Linked DNA regions of Caenorhabditis elegans. The protein of the gene in region 1 interacts with the protein of each later gene in a pairwise test. Each region holds a gene or a part of one and is shown on either strand. Other genes may lie near its edges. The genes, in order: syx-16, vps-45, pas-1 and vps-52.

Region 1 (4,015 bases):
TGCAATAAATGCGACCCGTAGGTCCTGCCGCGCGCAAAACTTTTCAACTACAGTACCCTTCAACTACAGTATTACGGTGTGTGTTTTCTTTTCTTTTTTAATTTCAATACACTTTTTATTAACTCTTCAATAAAAATAGTTTGAAAACTAAAGGACAACGCTTAGTAATTTAATTTTTCAAATATTTGATGCCAATCTGTCGATATAAGATATTTGTAAAAATGTTTCTATTTTATTCGGTTATGTAACAGCTGTCTGACGAACTTTTTTGCGGCTAAAGGGTCACTTGTCGTCTTTGTGATTGATATATTTCACTTTGTTTCATATCATTCTCTCATGTGAACTAAACAATTATTTATGTTGGTAAGCAACTGTTTACCAGTGTGGCTAATAACCCTAATTTCGTTTTTACACTACTGTTTGAAAATTATGATCAGAAATTCGAGCATTTTCAATGTTGCAACAAAAAATTTTCAAAAAACGATCTGATAATTGGTCGTTGTTGAAGAACTTTTGGGTAAATATACAGTAACCTTGGTTTTCTAAGTCTCTCATTGTGATACAATCACTAAATGTCCACGTAATAGATGATTTATTTCTTTGTGTGCCTCCTCCACACATCTCGATGTAAAGTGTTCGATTATTGTAAAGCATTCTACTTTCTTGTGCACAATCATAAAATATATTATTCCTCCGTTAAAACACTTTTGTTCTTTTTTGAATTTTATTGTTTAAAATGTGATACGACAATTTAAAGGCGCATGCCGTTTTTTCTGCTCGTAGAATGTGTAAATTCACATTCTGAAATGCATGAAGATTGATCTGAGTCACCATAAAATGTAAAAAGTCACACATCTTTCAAGACTTAAAGTGCAATTTTTTCTTTTCCAATTTTGTAAAATATTTCCACTGAAAAGAAACAATGTGTTGTGATTATTTGCAGAATTTGCGAAAAAGAAAAGTTTAGAAATTCTGAAAAAACGTGCGTTGGACTTGCAAAAACTAAAATTTTTCTTGGCAATAAGTTCTTGTTTTTTACGAACACAGTGTACAATCTTACTATTTATTTTTTTCGAATTATTTCAGTTTTCAGCCGAACGTATTTTCTTTCTGAACAATGCCACTGGACACATCAGCATGAGCTACACCAACGGAATTGGCCATAGCGGTTTTTGACTTTACAGCATTAGCACCGGTCATTGAGCACGAATTGAAGATGAAAAATTCTTTAGATAAAATTTGAAACCTTATAATATTCTTCTAAAAGTACTATTCCTTTGCTTCCTGGTCTGATCGGTGCTTCAATCTCATACATACCTGCATATCTATTCACTAATCATTCTCACTTTGATCTTGTCATTGGGAGCTTTTCAGGTCCAAACGTTGCATACGTTTGAGTGTTTTATCAATTAAAAGCTAAAAACAGTCAAGTCTGATGTATCAATGCCAAAGGATGTTGTTTTCCACTGTTTTGAGAATCGAAAAAAAAAATTGTTTTCAAAATTTTCGACTTGCCTACATATTTTAGTTTTTATTTTCCAGACTGAGTTTTTCAGAAAGTTGTTAATTTTTTCATTTCTGTTGCTAATATTTTAAATTTAGAAATTTATTTTCAAAATTACAATCTACGATTTTTGCACAAAAATTCGGTGCCAAAAATCAGCACGACAAGTTTTCGTTAAATAAAAGAAGTGTGCACCTTTGAAGAGTACTGTAAATTTAAACTTTTGGTGTTGATTATCAATTTTCTAAATGTTTTGAAGAAAATTTAATTTTTTATTAAAAACTAAAGCGAAATAATATGAAAACACTTGAATTTGAACAACTCGAGAGAAATACTATGTATGAAAAATTTCAAACTACAGTAACCTTTAAAGGCGCACACCTTTTCGCATTTAATAAATATTATCGTGTCGAGACCGGGCGTCGTATTTTCGGAGCTGAAATCGCAAAATTTTGCGTTCAGGCTTTTCATAAAACAATAAATGTGGGTTGAATGATTCTTTCGCTCGCCGGCAACTTTTTTTCTTTCCATTTATCGCAGCCGATATGCAAGAAAATTCCAAAGTAAACACGCTCCATCGCACATTCCCCTTTTTCCTCTCCAAATTGATGTCGTTCGCTGGATAACGTCACTCTGGAAGTAAATTTGCAACGTTTTTATTCTAGCATTTTATTGATTTTTTCCAGATGGCTTCCTCTTCTGTTACCGCTGCTGCAAATGCTGCAAAGAAAAATGAAATTTACGGAACAACGAGAAATTTGACAGAAGTTTTTATGCTTTTACGTTCAAATGCTCATCAAAGTCGATTAATTTATAAAGATGATACAGATATAATTGTGAGGAGTCGTGGTGATGGTGAGTATTCTGAATTGGTTCAAATATTCATTAAATGACTTTTATTAAATAGGTTTTTCTAAAATCTCTTCTTTTCAAATGATCAAATTCTGTACTGCGAATTGCAGTCTGCAATAATGTATTTTTCAGAAGAACGAATGGCCTTAGTGGAACTTGAAGATGGGCGACAAGAATCCGATGAAGAGCCAGTTTGGATTCATACTGCTGATCAAGTAGAATTCGAAGTTGAAAGAGTTCAGAGAAGACTAGATGAACTTGGAGAGGCACAGAGAAAACACATTTCGCGACCTAATTTTGGAGATGAAGCATTCGAAAAAGAAGAGAAGCAAATGGAACAGACGACGGAGCAAATCACTCAAATGCTCACACATTGTCAAAGGCTAATCAGGTTTGTTATTTACAGACTCGGTTTGACTTAGGTAATTCAAAATTTTCCAGAATGATATCTGGAAGTCATAACAAAGAAAAACCTATGCAGCGAAAGTTAAGAGAAAATGCTGCTGCAACCCTGAGCCTAACACTTAGCCAAATTACCGATGAATTTAGAGGAAGACAACTGAAATATTTGAGTGATATCCAGGTAAGCGATTTGAAAAAGTTTCATTCAGCACATCAAAATTGTTTCAGAATCGTTCCCGTAACGTGGACAATTACCTTATCACAACAGATCCACTGATTGATGCTCCCAATTGGGCTGAGCTAGATGTGTCACCATCTACAGAAATATCAATGGCCCAGCTTCAACAATTTATGAATAACGATCGAGAAGTTCGAGAGCGCGAAAAGGAAGTGATGGCTGTGAACACATCAATTAGAGAATTAAATACACTCTTCCAGGATTTATCAGAAATGATTGTAGATCAAGGAAGCGTCATTGATAGGTAAAACGAAGCTTTAAGGTCAATTATAGTAAATTTTAATTTCAGAATAGACTATAATGTTGAACAGACCTCGATTCGTGTGTCGAAAGCAGTTGAAGATGTCTTCAAAGCGGAACGATATCAAAAAGGAAACAAAAAAATGCATTGTATTTGTATGCTCACTGTTGCCATTATTTTTGTACTGATTCTTATTATTGTTACTAAATTGTAATTCTTTTACTTCAGTAGTTTTATTTATATTTTTTGAATAAACCGGGTATTTTATTGATTTCTCTAGTTCAATCAATGAAATTCTAATTTTAGATTCCGGTTAGATTCCGTAATGCAGATATTTCCTTGTTTTATTCAAATTTAAAATTCTTCCACTACTTAATCTGTAATTAAAAATGTTCTCTATATAAAACTCGTGCACATCACTCTAGAGCAGGGATTCATTATGTTGCCGCATTTTCACTCGGATCATGTTACTCTTCGAATTCCTCTGATAATTTAGTCATTTTCTTCCGTCTAAATTCGTTTAAAATCAACTGATTAACGCCAAAGCCAATTTTTCTTTCTCTTTCCGCCAAAAGCCTTGAAATTGACTACCGTAACACTTGTCGCTTCGAGACCCAGGCCGCATTTCGGACCGCCCGCAGCACGCGTCGCGGAGCTTTTGGGCGAGATATTTCGAAAAATGTTGTTGTTGTGTTTTCCTTTCACGATTTTTTTCTTTTGGGCGCAAATAATGGCTTTTTAATACCGGATATATGCTGCATTGGCCTAAAGTGTTTCG
Region 2 (6,583 bases), on another chromosome or scaffold:
TCCTAGCGAAGTCTCTTCAATGGGAAAAGCCTGCGATTGGATAGCCAAAATTACGATAAAAACTACAGAGATAAGTTTGAAGTAGTAGTCCATTGTTCAAGTTGAAGTCAAGTGATAAATCACACTAAAAAGGTTTTTCGAAGGTGTTTCGCTTTAAGGTTTTGTTTCTCTTGACGAATGATATCAAGAATTTTTGTTGTCTTGGTCAGCCAGTCACGCACCACCTAACACTACAATTCACTGACAGTATAAACGAAACGGCGCCAGTTTGGTTAGCAAATTAGCGCATATATCTGTTATTCACTATTGGCAAAGGACACACACTATTTTTGGGTGTGTTTGGGTTTTCAAAACGACACGGTTTTGAAATGATAAATTCACGTATAGGAAATATTTTTGAAAAAGTGTTTCTTTGTAAATGCCTCTGGTAAATTCGGTTGATCAAAAAGCTTCCAAACATGCTTCAACTTACTCAAAAGCCAAGCGGTAGGCCTCTCCACGGCTTAACAGCGGCTGAGCCAATAGGGAGACCGTTAGTGGTGGCACTGTACACAGTACATATTCATTTTAAAAAAAGCAATTTCATAAAGAAGCTCAATATATCACAAGAAAAGATGACAATTCAATTAAATCAATAAATAGACTCTGCGAGAAGTTTTGAAACTTTTGAGATATTCAGTGAACAGCTCCCGTATTTTTGTCGACGTTGGCAAACTCTTCGAGGAATCTGTAAATTTAACTTATTTTCCATTCACTACAGAACCATAACAAATGCAATAGCCAATTGAAATTAGTATTATAGCATTAAGTATACCCATTAATCGAAAAACGACAGAATTACTGCTTAATGTCTGCCCGCTTAGCCAAAACATTTTTTACCGGGGACGTGGTTTCATTTTAAAGCCTGTATACTCACGATTTTGTATTTAGCATGCTACTCCCAGCTAGAACAACAGCAGGCCCTCCGTATCCTTGCATCCGCTTTTCATTCAAGCTTCTCACATAAGCCGCCTCCTCATATGTGGCTCCACCCACAATAAACACAATAATATTATCCATTCGGTCGCTGAAAATTGAGTAGCTTGAAGCATTATAGTAGATCTAGAACTTACCATTCATTGCTAAGAAGCGGGTAGTTGTCAAGCCTCCCACGCTGGCAAGACTCGATCATGTTCTTGAGATACGGCGAATGCTGGGTGTAAATGTTCTCAACTCCTTTGAGTCCTTTGATGAACCTGAAAATTATAGGTAGAATACCATGTACCTTTTGTAAATCTTGAGTCTTTCTTTAGTGCTACTAATGTTCAGTCAGTTTTGTCAAATTATTAGAGGTGTCAATAAATTTCTGGTCAAATGAATTAATATTTTTTGTTGCAAAACTCATTTGTAATTCTTTTATAAATAAAGCAGTTTTTAATCGCTAAATTTGCTTACTGTAGACAAAAATTAATTCGAAATTCTGATTTAGACAACTAGTAACGGATAAAATTGAACCAAATCAGAAATTGCTGAAGCCGCCAAATCAACCGAAACTAAGCCCAGATTTCAGCCCAAATATTTGATTACGCTGATTCACTGTTGCTCACCTCTTCGTAATGTCAATAGTCGATTCACCACCAAACAAATCGGCAGGTCTCCTTGAAAGTCCACCATATTTGAGCAGCGTCGACACCGTTTGATGGATTTTTGGATGCTGAAAAAGCATGAAATTTTTTTAAACCCAGAATACACCAGTTGCCTACCTGTGGTCTGAGTTGACTGATCAATGAGTTTAATTCGTTGCCGGGTGCGTTTTCGAAACGAAGAGCGTAGAGAAGCACAAGACGGATGATGTCCTGAAAATGGGTGTACTGATCGTGATAACTAAATTCAATTAAAAATATAATTATATACTTCTATGTATCATTTAACAAAATAAATTTTTTAAAAATATAGCACACACTTCAGTGTTGTGTGCCTTGAAAAAAAAAATTTGCGTATGCACTGACCAAACTTATGTTTGCACTGACTAAATGACCAGCTATTTTTCCTAGTTTGTTGAAGCTGTAGTATCTAATTTTAAAGTAGCTAATGAATTTACTTAAAATTATAGGATACAGGAAACAAAATCCTTTCCTGAGCACCACGTTGGCGAAAATATATACCGTATTTCATCTATTAGTCTTGCAGCCTCTATTAGTCTTGCACCCCTACGGACCAATTGAAAATTAGTTTTGCATGCAAGACTAATAAAGGAAATACGGTAATTGGTCATTTGCGATAACAAATCTCAGTATTTTCTCGTGTTTGTTTTGGCATTCAGAATCTAAAAATGTTCATTCCGGATTTTTTTGCGGTGTATGTTACTGTTACTCACCACTTCTCTGGTTTTCGTATTTTTCAGCAGTCCTCGAACAAGATTGATACATTTGCCATGATCCCCATCTGACACAATTGCCTGCTCTACCTGAAACCACTTTCTACGTTTTGACACGTTTTTTTAAACTGTATTACCTCTGAGACTCCTAATAAATTATGCTTCTGAACAAGATTACTAAGTTCGCCTACAAGGCTGACGTGTTTCGACACTGTTCCACTGATCTTCTTAAACTGTGGATAGTCTTCCACAAACTTTTTCATATCCTGAATCGACTCCAAATTCTTGTTAATATGCTTTTTCTCCTGAAACTCGCTGATCAACGTCTTGATATTTTGCCCGATTTCTCCAAAGTTGGCAGTAATATTTCTCGCAAAAAATTCATCGTGAAGCTCGCTGAGCACAATGTTCTGATCAGTACATGTGCATCTGTTATTTGTCAATGTGAGCATTTCATGGATCATCGCTTCATACGTCCATTGGTTGAGCAGAGGAGTCACCGCGTCCTGGGATCTTTCAATAATCAGAAGAGTGGTGTCAGCTCTAGAGTTTTCGAAAAGCCCGTTTTCCCGGCGAATGAATTGTGCTACATCATCGGCCACTTTTTTGCAACTCGGTGAAGACTTTTGGTATCTGAAAAAAAAACATTGTAAAAGTATGCAACAAAGTAGTGACAATTGCATACAGTTTTTCGCATGTAGCAGCTCCCAGATTACAATAAAAACAAAACTACAGCGTGTTATGTCTAACAATTACAAGCATTGCCAAAAATTTCTGATTGCAGCACACTTCTGCTCAAGCGATGTAGTGCCAATTTTCAGCTGCGCGATAGTTATGATATGTATGTATATGTGCAAATTAATTTATCATACAATCGTATTGTTGGGGTAAAGACTTCTTTTTGTTTAGAACAAGGAAATTGGGTACAAGACGAAAAACAAAAGCAGTCACGCAATTGGATACTACTTGTAGACCAAAGACAAAAACAAACGAATGAATTTTTTTTCTCAATCGTATATTTTAGGGATCAGTTTTAGAGAAATTGAATCAATCTTTAGAATTAAAAGCTGCGAACACTCTCTAAATTGAGATACCTTTATAAAAAAGCATGAACATGACTAATAAATAACCAAAATTTCAAAAAAAAGGTCAATGTCCGCAATCCTTTACCAATTTTCAAATTAGAAATTTCAAAACTCTCACCGAACAGCTGGAGCCTTTTTCAACTGCAACAATAGCGCAATAATTCCGCACTTGATCCTTTCAGCGGCTTCTTCTTTCAACGTGAATGATGAGTCGAAGATGTGTGTCAAGTTGAGAGTGAACAAGTCTTTACGAATAGGAACTCCATCTAGAAACACTTCTTGAACCTCACGCACCTGGAATTTGTTGAAAAATACACTATTGACATATCCTATAGCGTATTAGTATTGCTTAAAAGTTTTTTGCATCGTTAAGTTATTGTCGGAAAGCAATAAATCTTTTTCTGATTCTCATAATTTAATCACGCAGCTTGAAAATTAGTTCTGTCCATAATAAAAAGTACTACTTACAGTCTCATTTTTGTCTGCTTCAGCCAGCCGCTTCACATCATATTTGTTGATTGTGTTTGTAAAATCTGAAAAGCATATTCATTGAAAACTAGTATTTTTTCTGTAAACTCACAAAGATAGTACTGGCTGAATCTTGGCTCCTGGAGCTCTTTCACCAGTCGCTCAATATTTTTGGGTGTCGGCCGGACGAATACCACGCATTTCAAGTTTTTGATGTTTTCAGATGAGGTCTTGTTCTCAATTCTATCGAATATATAAACTTCTTTTTGCATCACCTCCGACTGCGCAAATGCGCATGACACTGTTGGAGTCTGGAAAAAAATTTAGCGTTGATTTTATTTGAAAACGTGTGAAAAAACTACTCATCATTTAAAATTGTATGTTTATATGATTTTTCATACTAATCTAAGCATTAACTTTATTAAAAATCTATAGCTGATATAAATTCATAATAAACATTTAGGCTATTGTGAATATACAATACGTTTTGCTCATTTTTGGATTTCCTCTATATTTTAAGTGTTTATTATATTTATTATTTATTATTTTGTTAGATTAAGTAATTCAAAAATAGACATAAATGTTACTGAAAAATTTGCAAAACGTGTTGTTAATTTACGTTTTAGTATAACTTTTTGACACAAGTTTTAATTATTTTTCCTAACCGAATAATTACATTTTTACACTTTCAAATCAACTCACTGTTTCCCCATCCATAAGTAGTAATTTCATCTGCGAGCCGGCAAGTTGGATCATGTCCTGTATCAATTTTCGGCTTGACTGCACGAGATCCATGGTTGATTAGTAGAAAGAGCTAGTGGCCAACGTGTATAAAAACATATGGTAAAAGAAAAGAAATGGAGAACTCTAGGCCGCGGCCGTCTCTGTCACCGCGTCGGGTGAGTGTCCAGTGCCAGCATCGATTTTGAGAGATGGCTAGGCTAGTGGAGACGTAGACGGAGGAAGGCTGTGGAGAGTGAGGAAAGATGGAAAAAGTGGAAAAGTGGAGCAGAAGTAGAGCAGGAGAATTTGCATTCTGTCGGAGAAAATCTGAAGAAAACTGAATCTTCTCCAATTTTTCATTATACTAACTTGGTCCTGAACAAAAGTCTATGAAATATGTATAAGAATTATTATCCGTATGCGTGATGTACTAGGACAACAATTATCATTTACTATATATAAAGCGCGTGTCCTTCTGTCCCTATGTAGTTTGATCTCCGATCAGAGCAACGAAATTTTGGGAAACCTTATGCTAAATGCGCAGCAGACATCGATCGAGGTCCGCGATAGACACCGTATATCTAATGTGTTTTCTCAAAAAAGTCGGGGGCCGCGCCGTAGGTGCGGTCCACGGCTGGTACTAAAATAATTAACTCGTATCAGAGCTTTTCAAAATTGTTCCCTGTACTTATGGTAGGGTTTTACCAAAGCTCCAGCTTAACGCAAACTTCACAGATTTATGACTATTCAATGCAAGGTGGCTGGTTCTAATTTGAAGGACATAACACAATTTTTCGTTCACATGAAACTGCAGCCAAATATTAATTTTACACTATTTTCAATTCGTGTTTGAAGTTTTTATTTGACAAAAAAAGAGTTTCATCTAGTCATATCTGCAACCATTAACTCTTTGCACATTTAAAAAATTAAATTAAAATCACAATAATAATAAAAAACCGGGATGTACTGAAAAACCTGATATTGTTCAAAAAGTGTAATAGTCCTAATAATACAAAAATAATACGTATAATTTGAAAACATTGCACAATCCATCAAAGCTCATGAATAATCATGGAAGATCATATTTCCCCATTGCGAGAGCAACTTTTCCACCATTCCGCGCGCATTTGGATCAGCAGACTCCATGAAAGCAGTATGTCCTCCGTGATTGGTGATAATACCGCAAACGTAGTCGCTCTCCATTATATCTAATGTAGGGATGCCTAAATAGGGGAAATGTATGAATAATTATTAAATTTGGTATTTTGTTTAAAAAATGTAATTAGAAAACTAGCTTTTCAATTACATATTTAATATATATTTCATAAAAATTCCACACGTTTTATAATTTTTTGCAACCCGCAATGTGTCGGTTGCTGTTATTACCGTAGAGCAAACACGTCTAATTATGAACTAGAGAAACGTAGCAAGCACTCATGTTTGTATATGAACATTAGTTTTCAAAGCTGTTCAAACCAAAACTTACATTCCACCGGGCTGAAATAATCATCAACAGAATTCAGTGTTACACATGGAATCTTGATTTTGTCTACCTGGAAATTGATTTTTCAAATTTTTACAAACCAAGTTTCAAATGTTACCTTTGTCGCCAAAGTAGCCTGTCTGTAATAGTCATCGCAACTCTTGAACCCATACATGGGAATCACAAAAGATCGATCAAACCCTCTAACCGTATTGCATCTGCACACTTCGTCAAAATCCACCATATCTTTGAATAGCTCGCGGTACCTGGAATTGTGGGAGCTACTTATGAACTCAGGGGTTTGGTTCATTAATAGCTTAGCAGGAAATACTAAAAATTTGGGCGTAAAGGAATTGCTTCAAATTAACGCGCAAAAACCAATCACTTAATGAGAAGCTTGCCAGCTCTTTGAGCACAGGGCCTGCTCATGTCTCCTCAAATTTTCTCAATGCCAATTTTTTATACCAA
Region 3 (3,520 bases), on another chromosome or scaffold:
TTGATAACTTAAATATGGATAGCATTGTTTAGAAACAAATGCAATTTATGTAATTAGTAATTAGCAATTAATTATAACAATGCAATTAGTTCTGTAACTCACATCAGCTTTCCTCAAATTAAGTTCCCGAACTGTCTCGAATCCAATTCCACAATTAGAACCGGTCACAACGGCTACTAATCCCTTTGCAGAGACTCTTTCATTGAATTGACCTCCTTTAAAGTAACGTCTGAAATATTTTAGATTATAGTTTTAGCTATCGTGAAATATCGATTACCTTGTGAAAAAGAGCACAATAAAAACTACGGATGAAGCGAGCACAAAAAAGAGGAATCCTCCATGTTCTTCAGCATCTGCACCATCCATTTTAATAGATGGTCTGTTAAAACTTTGAATGTATAATTTTTTTAACTTGCAGTTTTCTTCAATGAATTCGTACTAAAAAATAAATAACAGGGATTGCGAAACCACCATCAAAGTCAACATGAATAATATGAAGTGTTTCAAAAATCATTTTATCATGATTTTTAGTGATAAATAAATAGTTTCAAAAGAGAAAGGGGCGGAGGGCAATGATAAAAAAGACCGAGAAACAGGGAGTAAAGAAAACAATAAATAAATTTAGAAAAGGGAAACCAGGTATTTAATTCAATTTGGGTACCGGATCAATTGAAACGGGAAATATTTAAATACAAAGGTCGATGAATATTTAATCTCGGTTGGCGATTTGATTGAGATGATGTTCGACCTGATCGCTGGTTAGCTTGGTGAATTTGGAGTTATCCTTGGTGACAACGACAACCTCAAGATCCTTGGAACGAACGTCGATTCCCAATGAAGTCTGAAGAGCCTCAATGGCGAGTTCAATAGCTTCTGTGGATGTCAATTCGGACTTCTTCTTAATTTTCTTTTCCAAGAATGAGGTCGCTGGAAGTTGTTTCACTCCAACAGATACTCCTTTCATACCACGGTAGTATCCAGCGGGGTCAACACGATAAACTTCTGGTCCTTTCTCGTCATCGTAGGAAATGAACAAAAGAGCTGAAATTGAGTAATTGTAATAATTGAAGTTAGAGAATTCGGAAATTTTTCTACTAACCACATCCCAAACTACGCATCTCCGCATTTTGTGTGTAATACTGGTTGAGATCAGCCATCTTTTTGGCGAGAAGCTCGCATGGCATATCGTAGCCGTTCTTGTACTTCCAGCTAGCAGCTTCTCCCTGTGCACGCTTGATTTGGAATTTAGCATCCGGGATCATTCCAATGGCGCAGCATCCAACAGACTGAGAGATTTGATAAACCGAAGTGACGGTATCAGCGACGATGAGACTGTCTGGAACACGCTTTTGAACGGCAATGACAGCTGCATCAGCTCCCTTGACTGCGACAGCCGTCAGATTGGTAGAGTTGATTGCTTTGAAGGCATACTCGACCTGGAAGCAAGCATGGAAAGTTATAAACATTCAACTATTATTTTATAACCTGATAAACACGTCCTTCTGGAGAGAAGATGGTAATATGACGATCGAATCCGGCGCTGCTTCCACGAGACATCTAAACATAAATTTTAAAGTGGAAATCAACCATTAATTTGAAAACCGATAAAGATAGGAAATCTGGTTATTGACCAGTGTACCAATAAAATGAAAAAAAAAACGAATAAAAAGAAACTTAATGGAATATTCAGGAAACAAAAACAAAAATTCAACAATATATAACAACAGAAATAAAAATCTGATTTGAAAAATAAAGACTCGAAAGGTTATCAAGAATATTCGATATCCTTCTTCTTGCATTTCAGGCATGTATAGAATACTGTTTGTCCTTCATCTGCAGATCTCGTTTGCATAGTAGAATATGATGCCTTTGAGTGACCGCACCTTAAAGTTGGAAATTAGTTTCAGTCTTTCTCAGTTTCAAAATCCCCGGAAATATTCTTACTTTGTGCAAATATGATCAACAACAGCATCCGCTGACTCGTCATTTTCAATTCCATCTGTATCAGCAACCGTTCGTTCGTAGATCTTTTCGACACGGCTAACCACTTGATCTACTCTTTCTGAAAACATTTTAAAATTAGAATATATTCATCTTAAAAGCAGGAAACCTTTCACAGCCCATCGAGTTGAGCATACTTTGCAGGAGACCGTCGCTGGAGCCTGTGCCGGTAGTTCCAAGATGGCGCCGCAATATCCACAAAAGTCATCGTCGTATGAGAGGAAGTTCAAAGCCATTTTAAGCTGAATTAATGAAGTTTCGACTAAAATATATTGTTGAAGGTTGAAAAATGATGAGAACGCCGAAAAGATGACAAAATTTAAAGGGAGTGCGATGGAGCACGCTTGGAAATTGAGACACTACCGATTTGTGACTTTCGAAGAAACAGATTGCTGAGTAAATGGGAACAGCACTTTACTAGTTGAGAAAATATTAAGTCTTGACAGGCAAATTGTTAAATGATCTAAAATCACTTATCTTGGTTTGAAAGATGGCCGAGTTGCTGGATCTGGCAAAGAAAACTCCGCCTATTAATTTCATAGATTTGAAAATCGCGAATCAATGTTGGCTTTCTTACATTCAGAGAAAAAAAAAACATGCCAGAGAAAAATAATTGGGATTATATAAAACTCTGAACAAATTTAATAAAATAACCTATCCCAGGTAAATTCACAATCGAGAACTAAAACATCATTTCATGAAGAAAAGTAACATTTTCTACTTAACAGAACATTTATTTATTGAATGTTAAAATTTGATGAATAAAAAAGAAAGTAACAAAAAAAATAAACGAATCAAAATCAACAAATTTGAATAAAAAACAAGAACATAGATTATCCCTTTCTTGCTTTGGCCTTGTTGGCTCCCTTCTTTCCAGCACCACCAGTACCCTTCTTCTTGCCGTCGACCTTGTTTTTGAACCACTGTTGTCTGTGAATCTGACTCTTCTGTCTTGTTTGATCTTTAGCACCTTTCCTCTCCGATTTTTCCTTCTTCCTGAAATTAATTGAATTGAATAACGATAAAGGCCTAATTTTCTCACTACTCACTCTCTCAAAGGTCCAGCAACTGCAGCAGCCTTTTCTTCAACAATCTTTGCTTTCTTTGACTTCATTCGTTGAAGAATCTGGAGAGCACGTTCTTTCTCGCCAGAAACTGGAGCTTCGTTGGCTTCGAACTTTCTCTTCTTGCCAGTTTTCACGTTGGCCTTCTCTCCCTTCAATCCTTCCTGGAACTTTCCAGCGGAAGCTGTGGCAAGCTTTGCACGATCCACTGCGAAACGAACTTGTTGCTTTGATTTTTCCTTGGCATCGACTCCTACTCCGATCATCTTTTCTGTCGATGGACCGCTCTTGACTGTTGTCTTCATCTGACGAGCAAGATTCTTCATTCTCTGCATATCGTTCTTTGCAACTCTCTCCTTCTTCTTTTCGCGTCTCTCAGCAAAGAAATCCTTGTTCGGATCTTCTGCGTTGTCAGGAATTTCGATCAGCCAATCCTTGGTATCATCATTTCCACG
Region 4 (5,262 bases), on another chromosome or scaffold:
TCTGCAATTCACAGAAAATGGTTCTTCCTTCCACGTAGAATGTCAAATGAGAAGTATTCTGAGGCGGAGGACGAGAACCGCGGAACAAACGTTCTTGTGATTGGAAATGAAGAGTTGACTGATTTTGAGGTTGTGCGAGTAGGATCGGAGAATAACAAATCCAGAGGGTTTGCTGCTTTCCAATTTGTGCCAAACACTCATCACCAGCTCATCGTTGCCATCAAGTCGGAGGAAAAGGTAAGTAACAGGTTTTATCTACACAATTTTAAAAACAAAATCCGTTAATCTCAATGCTCGGTTTATAAAATTGTATTCCAGGATGGAAAACCAGTAGCAAGTTATGCAAGTGTTTTCGACATTCATGGTAATGTTATTCTTGACGAATATCTTCTTCATGGTCCATACAAATACGAAGGAATTGCATTTGCCTAATCACTTCAATTAATGTATTTTTGTCTCAATTCCCACCTTCCAGTCAGGTCCAAATCTGTGTTCTCGATATTATGTGATTTTTGTCAAATACTATGTAATGGTTATTTAAATAAAATAAATATATAAACATTTTATTCAACATTTTTTGCATGCATAAAGCTGCCAGTGGGTAAAAATATATATAAAAAAATACTCAAGTAAGTGGGAATCAATAAATTATTTAATTTACAAAGTCTACACGGGAAAATAAAATAACATTGGCAATATTTTTCTTAATATGCTGGTTTGAACCGTTTGATTTCGAGCATCACTTGATGAACGTTGACTAACTGGGAACACACGGGATTTTTAGCAAATACGTCATGGGACAGAATCTTTGTGAATCTATTGATATACTGAACGTACTTTGTGAAGATTGTCTGAAATCATCTAGTTAAAACTGAAATTCGGCTCTAGGAAATAAATTTTAACCTGTAAAATGGTGGTTCCCAGGCTGAAGTTAGTGAAAAGTTGTATGCATTCTGAATTAATACTGTCCACTGCAGGTCTCCACTTTGCATTGAAGTTTGCTACCACCGTTCCAACTTTGTCTGAAATTAAAATATTAGAGAATAGAAAATTATATATGACAACTTGCCATTATATCGAACTAAGAGTTGTGTATGACCTTGAACAATCAGAGATTCACACTCGTTGACAAATTTAATCATGTACCCAATATGTGGCTCTAGCATCTCTTCAACAAAATCATCAATACTTTTTTGTTCAAGCTCATGGACAATTGCATAAATCTTTGTATGCTTGCTTTCCTCGTTATCGATAATCGAAAGAATAAGATCGTAATTGTTAATCAGAAAGACGTGCTTATTTTTCTGAGTTTGCTGCATAGCTGACATTCGAGTCAATAGTTGTTCAATAGAGTCTTCACTGTTCTCCAAGACAGCTTCCATCTTTGCACCCATTTCCTTTCCACTTGCTTTTGCTATCATCAAATGTGCACTTGTCAGTTCGGCGTACCGTCGGACTATCTGTAACATCTGAATTTTTTTGATTATAAAAAACAATCAAAAACTTACGAAATGCGGTCTTGCATCAAGTGAACCGCTATGCATCAACTTCTTCAAATCAACAGATTTGACACTTTCGTAGTGTTGAGACATGACCAAATTGAGGCGGGTCCAAAGGAAGCTTGTGACAGTATTCCAATAATCGCTAACTTCTGGTACCTCTCTCTCGGCGAGCACTTCGGTAAACTTGTCACATAGACAAATGCACAGATGAAGACTGATGGCGTCCCAACTAAGGGCGATTTGCTCCTCGCAGCTTTTGAGCACAACTGACATTGCTCGAGCCATAGCCTGAAAGCAATTATAAGCTTTTTTCCGGTAGTGAAAAGGCAAACAACTATTGTAAATGTAACATTACTACGTAATAGATATTAGGTCTTTCCAGGTCCTCGTAACATACCTTGTTATGCAGTTCAATGGCTTCATCATTGCTGACAAGGAAAAAGTCGGTAATAAAGAGGTACTCATGGCTGTAGTGATCGACAAATGCCAGTTGAATAGAACGAAATAGTGCTTCAAATTGATACTGAAAATATAATTTAATTTGGTCCCTACCAGTTCTATTGTAAGGTATACCGATTGATGGTTCTGCGTAGCTGCGTGGGGAACAATCAAGGCTCCTAAAAAGTCGTCAGAGAGAATTTGATGTCGTTGCCCAATCGAAAAAACGGTTGCCTTATTCCGAACAACGTGTTGTTTCGACGAGAAAATTGCGCCTAATCCAGCGGGTTTTGCAAAATCAATACTTCCCAAAGCGTCTTCTTTGGTGGCCACGTCTTTCATCTTAAATAATTACTCTGGTGAATATACTTGAAAAATGTGTCTCAACCTACCGCAAGTTTGAACAGGCGTGTGGCGTATGCTTTGAAATACGTGAAGAACATCTTGCTGATGGTGTCAATGTACTCGTCTTGAAGTTCCTTGGCAGAGATCAAGTCATGGTGCAACAGGAATTCGTAGAAAAATCGGCATTTGAGAAGCTGGTGTTGAAAAACTTGGTAGTTGGACAGAGGTTTACGGAATTGGAACATTTTCTGAAGCAACCATTCCCTCACTTTTACAACCGCCTGAAAAAAAACATTTTTGAAATGTAAACTTTTGTAAAAAAAAAAACACCCAACCTTAAGCTTTAGTCCTTCCAAAATCGGCATAGTGTCGTTTACCGCTACCGCATCTCCATTTCCCCTTTGCAAAATTAAGGTTATTTTGTGGTGTAACTCGTGGAGCGCTTCCAAAAAACCCCTGTCATTTGCATCAGTGTCGTTGATAGTTTTCATCATCGTTTGAGAAACAGCAATATCGTCTACAAATTGGCTCAGCTCGACTCTAACTTTTTGCCGGTTTTCCAGTTCCTGAGAAGATTATAGTACGTTGAAATTGGAAAATTAATTTACTTGATGAATATGATGCGACTGTAGCTGCAAATTTTTCATATCCTGCCCAATTGATCCTAGATTGTCTTGAAAACTGTACAATGTTGCTTGCAAGCGCTAAAAAGTTTAATTAAATAGTCGACTGATTTATATATTGGCAATTTTTACAATATACTTACTTCAAAAACATTATCACAATGCACAAGTTGATTATGGAGTTGAGCCAACTGCTCAGAGTTATCAAGACACTGTTGAACAGAATAACGATGTGCCTCCGATAGCCGCGTGCTGACGTCGTCTGAATTATTGATTTTTCAAATGTTGACATTTAGAGACATACTTTTCGACTCGGTTAGTCCGTCACCAGAAGCAATTGCTTTTTTCACCAAATTCGGATCTGCTTTTCGCAATTGCGATAAACAAAATTCTAGCGACGATATTGTGAAACTACGGTCATTTGCCTCGGATTTTTGCAAGTTGACACGTGTTCGAGGCATTATTTGTGCTGAAATTGTTTCAATAAAAATTTTGATGAATAACTAACGTTAATAAATAAAAAATAGCGATAAACCAAAGAAAAAACAATTGGTAACACGTCGTTAAACGATGCTCCGCTTTTTACACCCCGCGCGGTGTTTAGAATAATGGTGTGCTTGTGTGCGAGGAAGGCGAGGAAAATGCTCGCCAAGGAGGTTATGCAGAACAATTGGAAAAATGAGAATGTGTGGATTTTTGAATTTTTATAGAGAATTTAATTTATCTATTTGGTATATTTTTGACAATTCGCTACGAGAAATCTAAAACACTATTAAATCTTCAAACCCCAACAATATTGAAATTTGGATTTTTGTTTAGTGAAAAAATAAGTGAAAATATGAATTTTTCTGATCAAAGACTTTCATAATAATTGGTGAAAACCTAGTTTTCAGCGCATTAGGCTCGAAATAAAAAATTTCTCAAAACTTTTTGAATCCTTCGATTCAAATATTTCCCGTTTTACAAAAAATTAGACAAATTTCTAAACTATATGGCTTCCTTCATTTTCTTGGAAAAATACACTTGAAAAATACAATGGAACGTGGAGAATCATATATATATTATTATTATGATGAGAAAAATGACTGAAAAAATTTGGAGCAAAATCGGAAGTCTTTCAGACAACCTCTCAAAGATATGCCTTGACAACCGATATGTGCAATTTGGAAGTGAATGAGGTGGAAATCGAGTATAAATATTAAGTGTTATACAGTTGAATAATACAGTTTAATAGTTAAAAAAAAATACTTCAAACAGGAAAGAGATTATCAATATGCTTCGAGTTGATCCTTGTTTTGTTTTTTGACGAAACTGTAGCTCATTTTGCGTTGCTTGGAATCAGAGTCGGCTTCCTGAGGAAGATGCGGTGGCTGGAACTGTATCCTGACGTTGAATGGATTGAAGGGCGGCATTCATCATTTCTTGAACTGGAAAGTTCTGAGATGTGCCTCCTGAACCAACCTTGCTGATTCCTCCGAGAATCTCCATTGGGAACGGGAAGATGATTGTGCTGGTTTTCTCGGAACTGAAATTTTATTTTGTTAGTTAAAAGTTGATAGTGCGCTTCCATTACCTGATAGCATTGAGTGTGTGCAGATATCGAAGCTGCATGGCTCCCTCGCTTTTTGAAATGATGGTGGCGGCTTCAGCAAGAGCGGCAGATGCTCTTAATTCTCCTTCGGCAGCGATAATCTGAAATTAATTGCAATCGAAATTAATAATTATTGGTCCCCCGCATTTTGCTATGCTCATCATGTCGGCTCACCTTTGCTCCAGCATCACGAGTAGCCTCGGCTTCAGCAGCCATAGCACGTTGCATTTGAGATGGAAGACGGACATCGCGAAGCTCGACACGTTCAACCTTGATTCCCCATGGCTCTGTAGCTTCATCGAGCGAGATTTTCATGTCGGCGGAGATTTTCTCACGGTCGGATAGAATTTCTGAAAGGGTATGGGTACCGAGAATTGTACGGAGGGTGGTTTGAGCCAAAAGTTTGGTAGAGTCGGTCGCATTGCCAACTCCGACGACCTAAAAATTCCAAATTAGATTGAACCGTACCAGCTGTTTAGTTTACCGAAGTGATTGGGTCAAACACCTTGAAGTAGACAACTGCGTCAACAGAAACGGTAACCGAATCGCGAGACAGAATCTGAAGAGAGAAAGATTATATCACAGTGAGCAGGTGTGTTGCGCAACATACCTCTTGTGAAGGGACATTGTACGATGCCACACGCAGATCGATATTCAAGAAAGTATCAATACAAGGTATGATGAAGAAGATTCCGGGACCTTTGACGTCAGGAACAAGACGTCCCAAACGGAAAACTACAGCACGTTGGTATTCCTGAACAAT

What was found.
Region 2: the proteins of syx-16 (region 1) and vps-45 interact in a two-hybrid assay, tested with the Caenorhabditis elegans proteins (one study listed by BioGRID).
Region 3: the proteins of syx-16 (region 1) and pas-1 interact in a two-hybrid assay, tested with the Caenorhabditis elegans proteins (3 studies listed by BioGRID).
Region 4: the proteins of syx-16 (region 1) and vps-52 interact in a two-hybrid assay, tested with the Caenorhabditis elegans proteins (one study listed by BioGRID).

The regions. Positions count from the first base shown.
Region 1 is NC_003281.10:5,207,059-5,211,073, reverse strand, and holds syx-16 (t-SNARE coiled-coil homology domain-containing protein), read left to right. Parts: upstream 1-1,964; 5' UTR 1,965-2,143; intron 2,144-2,190; coding exon 2,191-2,359; intron 2,360-2,488; coding exon 2,489-2,747; intron 2,748-2,797; coding exon 2,798-2,939; intron 2,940-2,986; coding exon 2,987-3,240; intron 3,241-3,285; coding exon 3,286-3,451; 3' UTR 3,452-3,507; downstream 3,508-4,015.
Region 2 is NC_003284.9:970,049-976,631, forward strand, and holds vps-45 (Vacuolar protein sorting-associated protein 45), read right to left. Parts: upstream 4,801-6,583; 5' UTR 4,705-4,800; coding exon 4,612-4,704; intron 4,221-4,611; coding exon 4,022-4,220; intron 3,975-4,021; coding exon 3,910-3,974; intron 3,736-3,909; coding exon 3,560-3,735; intron 2,990-3,559; coding exon 2,494-2,989; intron 2,447-2,493; coding exon 2,357-2,446; intron 1,836-2,356; coding exon 1,743-1,835; intron 1,694-1,742; coding exon 1,587-1,693; intron 1,236-1,586; coding exon 1,113-1,235; intron 1,067-1,112; coding exon 917-1,066; intron 728-916; coding exon 676-727; 3' UTR 535-675; downstream 1-534. Other genes in the region: C44C1.6 (Neuropeptide-Like Protein), read right to left, coding at 1-93; Protein abhd-3.2, read right to left, coding at 5,692-5,855, 6,119-6,185, 6,234-6,381.
Region 3 is NC_003283.11:14,421,062-14,424,581, forward strand, and holds pas-1 (Proteasome subunit alpha type-6), read right to left. Parts: upstream 1,558-3,520; coding exon 1,486-1,557; intron 1,437-1,485; coding exon 1,100-1,436; intron 1,042-1,099; coding exon 710-1,041; 3' UTR 505-709; downstream 1-504. Other genes in the region: dhs-22 (DeHydrogenases, Short chain), read right to left, coding at 103-229, 278-366; rpoa-12 (DNA-directed RNA polymerase subunit), read right to left, coding at 1,769-1,883, 1,945-2,062, 2,111-2,237; rrsr-1 (Ribosome biogenesis regulatory protein homolog), read right to left, coding at 2,835-2,997, 3,051-3,520. UniProt on the Caenorhabditis elegans protein: The proteasome is a multicatalytic proteinase complex which is characterized by its ability to cleave peptides with Arg, Phe, Tyr, Leu, and Glu adjacent to the leaving group at neutral or slightly basic pH.
Region 4 is NC_003284.9:7,563,438-7,568,699, reverse strand, and holds vps-52 (Vacuolar protein sorting-associated protein 52 homolog), read right to left. Parts: upstream 3,378-5,262; 5' UTR 3,370-3,377; coding exon 3,213-3,369; intron 3,171-3,212; coding exon 3,052-3,170; intron 2,990-3,051; coding exon 2,894-2,989; intron 2,852-2,893; coding exon 2,621-2,851; intron 2,567-2,620; coding exon 2,333-2,566; intron 2,283-2,332; coding exon 2,076-2,282; intron 2,026-2,075; coding exon 1,900-2,025; intron 1,791-1,899; coding exon 1,509-1,790; intron 1,461-1,508; coding exon 1,070-1,460; intron 1,023-1,069; coding exon 904-1,022; intron 852-903; coding exon 705-851; 3' UTR 555-704; downstream 1-554. Other genes in the region: Apyrase apy-1, read left to right, coding at 1-237, 319-432; sto-1 (Stomatin-1), read right to left, coding at 4,247-4,433, 4,482-4,600, 4,674-4,937, 4,984-5,058, 5,110-5,262. UniProt on the Caenorhabditis elegans protein: Acts as a component of the GARP complex that is involved in retrograde transport from early and late endosomes to the trans-Golgi network (TGN). The GARP complex facilitates tethering as well as SNARE complex assembly at the Golgi.